2 linked regions of the Canis lupus familiaris genome follow. The protein of the gene in region 1 interacts with the protein of each later gene in a pairwise test. Links are inferred from orthologs where the notes say so. Each region holds a gene or a part of one and is shown on either strand. Other genes may lie near its edges.

What was found.
Region 2: the proteins of DHPS (region 1) and EIF5A2 interact in binary tests that used the Homo sapiens proteins (3 or more experiments, as listed by UniProt). The two-hybrid records come from large-scale screens. The link is inferred for Canis lupus familiaris from reciprocal best matches to the Homo sapiens genes DHPS and EIF5A2.

Annotation. Positions count from the first base shown.
Region 1 is NC_049241.1:49,833,048-49,837,291, forward strand, and holds the start of DHPS (deoxyhypusine synthase), read left to right. Parts: upstream 1-1,444; coding exon 1,445-1,651; exon of another isoform or gene 1,652-1,693; intron 1,694-1,751; exon of another isoform or gene 1,752-1,864; coding exon of another isoform or gene 1,865-1,904; intron 1,905-1,990; exon of another isoform or gene 1,991-2,125; intron 2,126-2,260; coding exon 2,261-2,425; intron 2,426-2,660; coding exon 2,661-2,782; intron 2,783-2,865; coding exon 2,866-2,962; intron 2,963-3,037; coding exon 3,038-3,124; intron 3,125-3,512; coding exon 3,513-3,618; intron 3,619-3,697; coding exon 3,698-3,801; coding exon of another isoform or gene 3,802-3,819; intron 3,820-4,244. UniProt on the Homo sapiens protein: Catalyzes the NAD-dependent oxidative cleavage of spermidine and the subsequent transfer of the butylamine moiety of spermidine to the epsilon-amino group of a critical lysine residue of the eIF-5A precursor protein to form the intermediate deoxyhypusine residue.
Region 2 is NC_049255.1:35,577,921-35,582,068, reverse strand, and holds the start of EIF5A2 (eukaryotic translation initiation factor 5A-2), read left to right. Parts: upstream 1-1,348; 5' UTR 1,349-1,400; coding exon 1,401-1,565; intron 1,566-2,146; coding exon 2,147-2,251; intron 2,252-4,148. UniProt on the Homo sapiens protein: Translation factor that promotes translation elongation and termination, particularly upon ribosome stalling at specific amino acid sequence contexts.

The DNA of each region.
Region 1 (4,244 bases):
AGAAGCATCTGGATACAAATACCCAATCAGAATGTTGTACATCTAAAACTAATAGAATATGTTAATTTTATCTCAATAATAATAAAAAGGCACCTGGAATTGGGACCTATTTTGTGGGCAGAACTTGGCGGAGGTGCTGAGGGATGGGTGAGAACAAAGGAGAGAGGTCAAGCTCAGTTCTCCAGTGTTGGGTCTACTAGGTGCATGGAGGGCTTATTTGCTGAGTTGAGGGCTTTTTGATGAGATGTGGAAGACTGCAGGGAGATCAGCGTTAAGTGGAGTGGGAGCTGAGGTGGTGAGTTTGAGATCCAAGTGGGGACTGTCAAAAATGTCAGGGAGGATGTTCTCTTCCTCCAGTTAAGTGGGCTAATCTCTGACCTCAGGACTTTTGCACTGGCAGTTCTCTTTCCCATTGGGGGATGGTGGGGGAAAGGCCTCCCCAAATCTGCACATATGGGGCCTTTCTTGGCTTTCTGGCCTTGGCTCAAATGTCACCTCCTTGGTGTCCTTCCCTAACCACCTGTCCCTGCAAATAAGGCCATCAACCCCTTCAACCACCCCTACCTCAAAAACACATCATGTTTGAATCCTCAATAGCACTAATCACTATTGTGGTTAGCTTTACTAGCTCCCCAATCAAACTATGGACTCCAGGAGGGCAGGGTCTGCATCTTGTTCACTGATAAATCTGAGTCGCCAAACACAGAGCCCAACGTATGGTATAGACTCCATAAATTATAAAGTGCCTGGTTAAAAGATTCCCCCTGGACCAAACCCTATGCAGGGCTAGGAGGACCCATGAGATACAGACCTCACCTTCGAGGGTCTCACAGTCTTGCTGGAGGGAAAGAGAGGTCAGCCCTGGATCCCAGAGGAGGTCCCTTACCCAGAGGACGGTCAGGGAAGGCTTCCCAGAAGTGACGGCCGCAACTACCAGGGGAAGACCAGAGGGTTACGCAGCATGTGGAGGCTCTGGTACGGACAGCGATCACTACACCATTTGATGAGAGACGCTCAGGGCCAGAAATTATCTGACATTTCCTGATGACTCGAATCCTGTCCTAGGGCGACGTCTAAGAAGCCATCCTCCTTCCCAAAGGGACAGAAACGAATGGGAAAGCGCCGCGCAACGCGGTGGGTCTCCAGCAGGCGGCAGTGAAAGCAGGACTCTTCATTCATCTCGGGCTGACAAGACGCGAAACAGGCAATAACGGCTCCTCGCGGCTTCCATATTACGGAAACGCATGCGCAAACATGGCCGCGCCCTGGATTGTGGGGCTCAAAGAGTCACGTGACTGAGCAACTTCCCGTCCCCTTCTGCAGGTTTTCCAGAGCCCTACTTCCTGCACTGTCATATAGAAGCGCGTGCCGGGGCTTAGTGCGTTTCGAGGCCGCTGGAGGCCTGGTCTGGGCGGCTGTGATCTGAGAGTGCGGCCGCGGGAGCATGGAGGGTCTTCCGGAAGGGAAGGCACCCGCGGCGGCGCTGGCCGCTGTGCTGAAGCATAGCTCGGCGCTGCCCTCCGAGAGCTCCCAAGTCCGAGGCTACGACTTCAGCCGCGGCGTGGACTACCGTGCGCTACTGGAGGCCTTCGGCACCACTGGCTTCCAGGCCACCAACTTCGGGCGCGCAGTGCAGCAAGTCAACGCCATGGTGAAGCCTGGGGCGGAACTTCCTGGGTTGAGGGGGTGTGGCCTCCAGTAGCGGCAATGCGGTACTGGGGGGCGGGGCTCCCTTGAGAAGGAGGCGTGCCCTTTGTCGGGCGGCCCAATAGGTGGAGAGAGGCAGGGTCCATTCTGGGCAGCGGTTTCCGTGCTGGGGAGAGGACCTTGTGCCTCCCCATCTCCATAGCATCCTACCATCAGGATGAGGTTGGGACTGATGCTAGATAGGAGGCGGGTTGTAGGTAAGGAGTGAAGTGTTCTGAACGGTGCGGTTGAGGAGGAGCCTCAGTCAGGGCGGGGTCTGGGCTCAGATTTGCTTTTTCCAAAGGGGAAAGTGACCAGGCCTGCAGAGGTAGTGCTCTCCAGTTCCTTGAAAGGGGAATAAAACCTGAGCGCGTGCCTTGAGATTTGGGCGGTGAATGGGGCCGAGCCTGCGCAGGGGGCGTTCGTTCCTTGGCTTCAGGTATTCCAAGTAGAAGTGTTTCCTTATTCCTGAGTGGGCAGGCCCCGGGGCTGGAGTCTGATCCTGAAACCCACTTGGAGCCCTCGGGCTAGAGTTTGGGGCCAGAGGGTAACTTGACTCTGCCCTTACACCTAGATAGAGAAGAAACTAGAGCCGCTGTCGCAGGATGAAGACCAGCATGCAGACCTGACCCAGAGCCGCCGCCCACTTACTGGCTGCACCATTTTTCTGGGCTACACATCCAATCTCATCAGTTCAGGCATCCGTGAGACCATCCGTTACCTCGTGCAGCACAACATGGTGGGTACCTGGCGGGGTTGTGGACTTGGCCTCTCTAGGTCTTATGGGCAATAAAAATTATTGGCCACTTAAATGACAGGGAGACAGGATTGTTTTAAGCGGAGGAACAGGATCTACTTTTATTTTGCAGTAGAGATTTTCCCAAGGGTCACTGGATTAGTGTTGGGAATGAGGAGCCCTACCTGGCATGACGGCAGGGCCCCTCTTCCTGGGCCAACCTGATTTGTGGCTGCAGGTGGACGTCTTAGTGACCACAGCTGGCGGTGTGGAGGAAGATTTTATCAAGTGCCTGGCACCCACGTACCTGGGCGATTTCAGTCTCAGGGGGAAGGAGCTACGTGAGAACGGGATCAACAGGTTCGGGGCCCTGAGTGATGCTGGGCAAGGGAGCTGGGCTGAGGATCCTGGGGCCCGATGCCCACATGCCTCATGTTCCGCAGGATTGGAAACCTACTGGTGCCCAATGACAATTACTGCAAGTTTGAGGACTGGTTGATGCCCATTCTGGACCAAATGGTGCTGGAGCAGAACACAGAGGTGGGGCAGGAGCACCCTGGGGGTCGGTGTGGAACTGAGGCGGCCCTGCTGGCTGAAGTCAATGTCTCCTCCTAGGGTGTGAAGTGGACACCTTCCAAGATGATTGCCCGACTGGGCAAGGAGATCAACAACCCAGAATCAGTGTATTACTGGGCCCAGAAGGTGAGGGACTAGGTAGGGCAAGGGTACCAGGCCTTGGCACATGTTAGCTTGTTTCACCTTCATAGCCACCTGGAGAACCATTTCATCATCTCCACTCTTAGGTGAGGAAGCCAACACAGATGTTAGTTTGTCTGACGCTGCGGTCCAGCAGTGGGAGTAATGAGAGCTACCATTCTCCACTGGTTTTGTCTGGTTTCATCACATATGCTTCATCTGTGATGGAGATGCTGTTGCAGTCTCCATTTTACAGTTGAAGAAGCTAAGGCCTAGAGAACTTAGTAAGCATCCTGCCTAGAATCAGGCAGAGAGGAGGGGATGCCACTGGGATGGGGGCCAGTCTGCCTCTGCTGGGCTCTGAGCTTGTTGCTCTCATCTTGCTGTTCCCTAGAACCACATCCCCGTGTTGAGCCCAGCGCTCACAGATGGCTCCTTGGGCGACATGATCTTCTTCCATTCCTACAAGAACCCAGGCCTGGTCCTGGACATTGTTGAGGGTGAGGTGCTAGGGCCACAGAGGAGCAGGGGAGGTAGGGTGGCTGTGTCCACTGCCTGACCACAATGCTCTTCTCCCAGACCTGCGACTCATCAACACACAGGCCATCTTTGCCAAGCGCACTGGGATGATCATCCTGGGCGGGGGTGTGGTCAAGCACCACATCGCCAATGCCAACCTCATGGTGAGTGGGGACACAGTAGCCGGTTCCTAGTGAGGGTGGCACTCGGGCTTGCCATACAGACCTGTGCTAAGCCTACGCCATGTGCCAGGGCAACAACTGTAGACTAGATAGGCCAGGATCCCTGTCCTCCTGGACTGATGTTCTAGTCAGGGAGATAGGTGGCAAGCAAGTGATGTGCATGTCACGGGGCAGTTAGCTGCTGTGGGAAAAAAAATGAGGGATGACAAGTGCAAGAGAAAAAGAAAGGAGTGCTGTTCAGAAAAGGGAAGTTCTGGGAAAGACAGCCTGTAAACAGAAAACAGCCAGTGCAAAGGCTCTGAGGTGCCTGAATTAAATCAAGGGACAGTTAGCAGGCCAGTGAAGGGGACCGAGACAATTAGCAGCAGGAGCCTGGCCTCTAGGGCTGCCAGTTGGGTGCTTATAGGTGCACCCTGGCCTCTATA
Region 2 (4,148 bases), on another chromosome or scaffold:
CCGCGATGCACACCGAGCCGCAGGGCTGACACCCAACCAGCTGCACGACGGCCCCAGGCGGAAGGACAGGCTGGGGCACCTCGTGCTGCGGGTTGGTCTCGCAGGGCCCACCCCCGAGGGTGCTGCGGACCCGTCCGGGCGCCCGGGGGTGGGGGGGCGATTCCTGCCAGAACCTCATCACCGGTCACCCAGCCCCGCCCTCGGGCTCGGCCTCGAGGCAGCGCCCACCTGCGCCTGCGGTTGCAGCTCCACGTTCCCGCCACCACTACGCAGGGCAGCCCCGTTGAAGTCGCGTGCGTCGCGCGACCTGAGGCCGTCACGTGACAACCGCCAGGCCCCTGAAGGGCCGGGGCCGCCACGCGCGCGCTCGGGCTCACCGTTGACTCCGACGGGGACCCCGGGCGCCCCGAACCCAGAAGTTCGCAGGCCCTGAGAAAGTGCTCACTTCACGCCGGAAGTGCACTAATCCGCAGCACGTGGGGTTGCCAGGGCGCGCTTCACGTGACGGGGCGGGGCCTCGGGACCCGCGTGGCCAATGGTGGCGCGGGGGGCGGGGCCTGTGACGCGCCGGGACCTATCCCGGAAGTGGGGCTGCGGCGGGGGCGGGCGGGGGCGGGGGCGGGGAGGCCGGGGTGTGGAAAGTGTGGCGGCCCCGCCCCGTCTCCTGGAACCGCCGGGGCCGCCGCCGCCGCAGCTGTAGGGGCCCGCGCCGGTGCGCAGGCGACAGGCTCGCTGTCCCCGGCTGGAAGGTGAGGACGTGGGCGAAGCCGGAGGGGCCGGGACCCCCGAGCGAGGCCGGGCCGGAGCAGGCTGAGCGAGGGAAGGAGGAAGGATGGATGGGGCAGCCGGGGCGCAGGCCCACGCGGGCCGGGCCGGGCCGGGCGGGCCGGGGATGCCGGCAGGACGGAGGGCGGAGCGCGAGCCGGCCGGGGGCCAGGTGCGGCCGCCCAGGTCCCGTTATCCCCATCGTGCGCGGGGACGCGCGGCCTGGGCTGGGCCCCCCGTCGCCGGCTGCCCCTGCGCTGGGACGGCGGGGCCGGGCGGGCTGCCCCCGGGGCGTCTAGCCCCACCGCCGCCCCCACCCCCGCCCCCGCCCCCGCCCCCGCCGAGCCCTCCTGCCACTTCCCTCCTCCGGGTGCAAAAGTTTATAGAGGCCCGAGTTAGAAAGTGCCCACTATTCCCGGGTGGGTGCTCCGCGAATGGGGGCGGGGGCGGGGTGGGGACTGGACCCGCGATGTCTGGCCCGCAGCCTGTCCGAAATGTGATGTCTCCCTGCCTTGCGTGCCCGTTGTTAAAAAAAAAAAGCGAACACAAACTTTTTTTTTTTTTTTTTTTTGCATAGTTTCCCTCCCCCCCCCCGCCCCCCGCCCCCGAGGAAGCTACGGTCGCCCCAGCCCACCATGGCGGACGAGATCGACTTCACCACTGGAGATGCCGGGGCTTCCAGCACTTACCCTATGCAGTGCTCGGCCCTGCGCAAAAACGGCTTCGTGGTTCTCAAAGGACGACCATGCAAAATAGTGGAAATGTCAACTTCCAAGACCGGAAAGCACGGTCACGCCAAGGTAAGTCAGTGCCCTTCCCCGGTCTCCCTTTGCCTTGCTGTTTTGATCATTTTGTATTCCAGTAGGGAACGTGAGATTTCCATATTTATAACTCGGCAATAATGACTTTTTTTTTTTTTTTTTTTTTTTCTTGACCACGATTTCTGAGTGACCAGCCATGGCTTTTTGAATACTGAAAGGTAGCATTTCCTTGTTTGGGCCCTTAATAATGTTTCGTTAACCGGTAATGGAAACTTTTTCCTGAATCCCAGTGATTTAGAATACATGTTCTGTTTATGGATGAGAAAACCTGTTCTAACATAACTTCATTTCTCTTACACAGTCTTATAACTGAATTCCTAGACTAGGAATTGGGTCTTGATAGGTCGTGAAGCTGTTTCGTTGTTCGCTGCTTCTCAATTCTCTGACCCCTGCTTTTTTTTTTTTTTTTTTTTTTTTTTTTTTTAAGAAAATAAAATTAGATGACCTTGGAAGGAGAAAGAATCTGTCATAATCAGCTTTGGTATTGTGCTCTTGTGTGTGTAATGAGTGATATACTTGGCAAAGATTAAACAGGTTTCCTGTTCTCCCTCCTCTGTTAGGTTCACCTTGTCGGAATTGATATTTTCACGGGCAAAAAATATGAAGATATTTGCCCGTCTACTCACAACATGGATGTTCCAAATATTAAGAGAAACGATTATCAAGTGAGTACTAGCTTCCTTTAAAATGGTGTTTTTTGTTTCTTAAAGTTGTAAATGCATTCTACTATCAACAGGAATTCAACAAAACCTGGTAGTAGTTTTGTAGGTTTTTCTAACCAGGTACTAAGCACCACCACCTATCTTAGAAATTGAAAATAGTGGTATTTAACACTTGTATCTTATCTAGAATTATAGCTGATTTGCTTTTTATTTTGACATTTTTGCATTCTTAAAAAGTTGAACATGTCTTATTATTTCTCAGACCAAGGGACTGCTTATTGTGACTAAGTTCAGTGTTCAGTGAAACTACTAAGCTTTCGTTGTAAAATATTTCCAATTCAGATAACTCCCCCCTGGATATTTTATTTCTTTTCACTTGTCAAGCCTAAGACTTTTAAGAAATCATTGGAATTCATGTTCCCCCAATCAAGTTTGTATATTATTGAATGTGAGTCAGAATTTGATATTCTTAAATAGGGAAGTGAGTTGAAAGTCTTTAATGTAAGGGATAAAGTATACCACCATGGCATATGGTAAAGAAAATACAAAACTATCTAATTGTTTTATTTACATTCAGTGACCATGCTGTGACCTTTTGTTAAATTATAGGTTTAGACTTCCAACTTGTAGTTCCAATTATACATTTGGATAAGTCATGTTTAATGATAGCATTTTGTTGTTTCGGAGTATTGGTGGTAACCAAACCATTGACCTCATAGGATGTGGGACCTCAGATTAATTATAACTAAAGTCTTTATTGTAAGTCTTCAATCTCATCGTCAAGCATACCGTATATAAAACTCTTTTTTGTTCATTTTATGGAGTCAGAAATGCAAGTGTGACACTTAGATTTTCTTCATTCATTTTAAACTGATTTCTTGCTGTACCTTTTATTCTATTATATACATGTTACCATCAACTGCAGTTAACATATGATTTCCTTTTATTTTGTACACATGTAAAAATATTTTTATGTAGTTTTTTTTTTAAGATTTTATTTATTCATGAGAGACACACACAGAGAGGCAGAGACACAGGCTCCCTGCGTGGAGCCTGATAAGGGACTCAATCCCTGGACCTGGGATCATGCCCTGAGCTGAAGGCAGATGCTCAACTGCTGAGCCACCCAGCCGTCCCTATTTTTACATAGTTTATTCTACTAAGCAGTTGTATATTTTCACTTTCCCACTTGTAAATGTTTTCTAGGTTGCTTTGGAGTCTTTCTAGAAATTTGCATTGTCTTATTATAATAATAGCATATTGAGTTTTTTTAATCAAACAATTTGGGTTTAGATCTGCTCCTGCCACTTTCTAGCTGGATGACCTTGGACAAATTATACAATCTCTCTGAGCCTCAATCTTCCATCTACAAAGGAAGGATAATGGGAGGATTAAGGAGAAAATGTATCCCATAATTACCTTATCGGTAGATATGTACCAAAAAGTAATTCTTTTCTGCTCCCCCCCCTTTGCCTTCATAAAAATTCCATCTAACCATTCCCTTGTACTTGGAACACCTAATTTAGACATGGCTTATAGTGGGTGCTCAATAAACATTTGTTAAATGCATGTGGGATTATTCAGTGAAGTAAGGATAGTGTAGCTAAGGCTAGGTATAGACTTTTCTTTTACCAAAAAATGGATTTCTGTTTTCATCCTTAACATGTGAATGCTTTGAATGTTCAATATTTATTATATATATATTAATATGTACTTAATACAGAATGCTTTTGCTTTTGGGCATTTCAAAAAGATAGTATCAGTAATTCATATGATTACTACTATGATCAAATTAACCAGTCATTGTTTGGAGTTCGAGATCTAACAAAAAGGAAAAATTTGGTTTGGGTTTTATTTGGGGATACAGCAGGGTCCAGACTAGGGTGAGGGGAACAAGGTA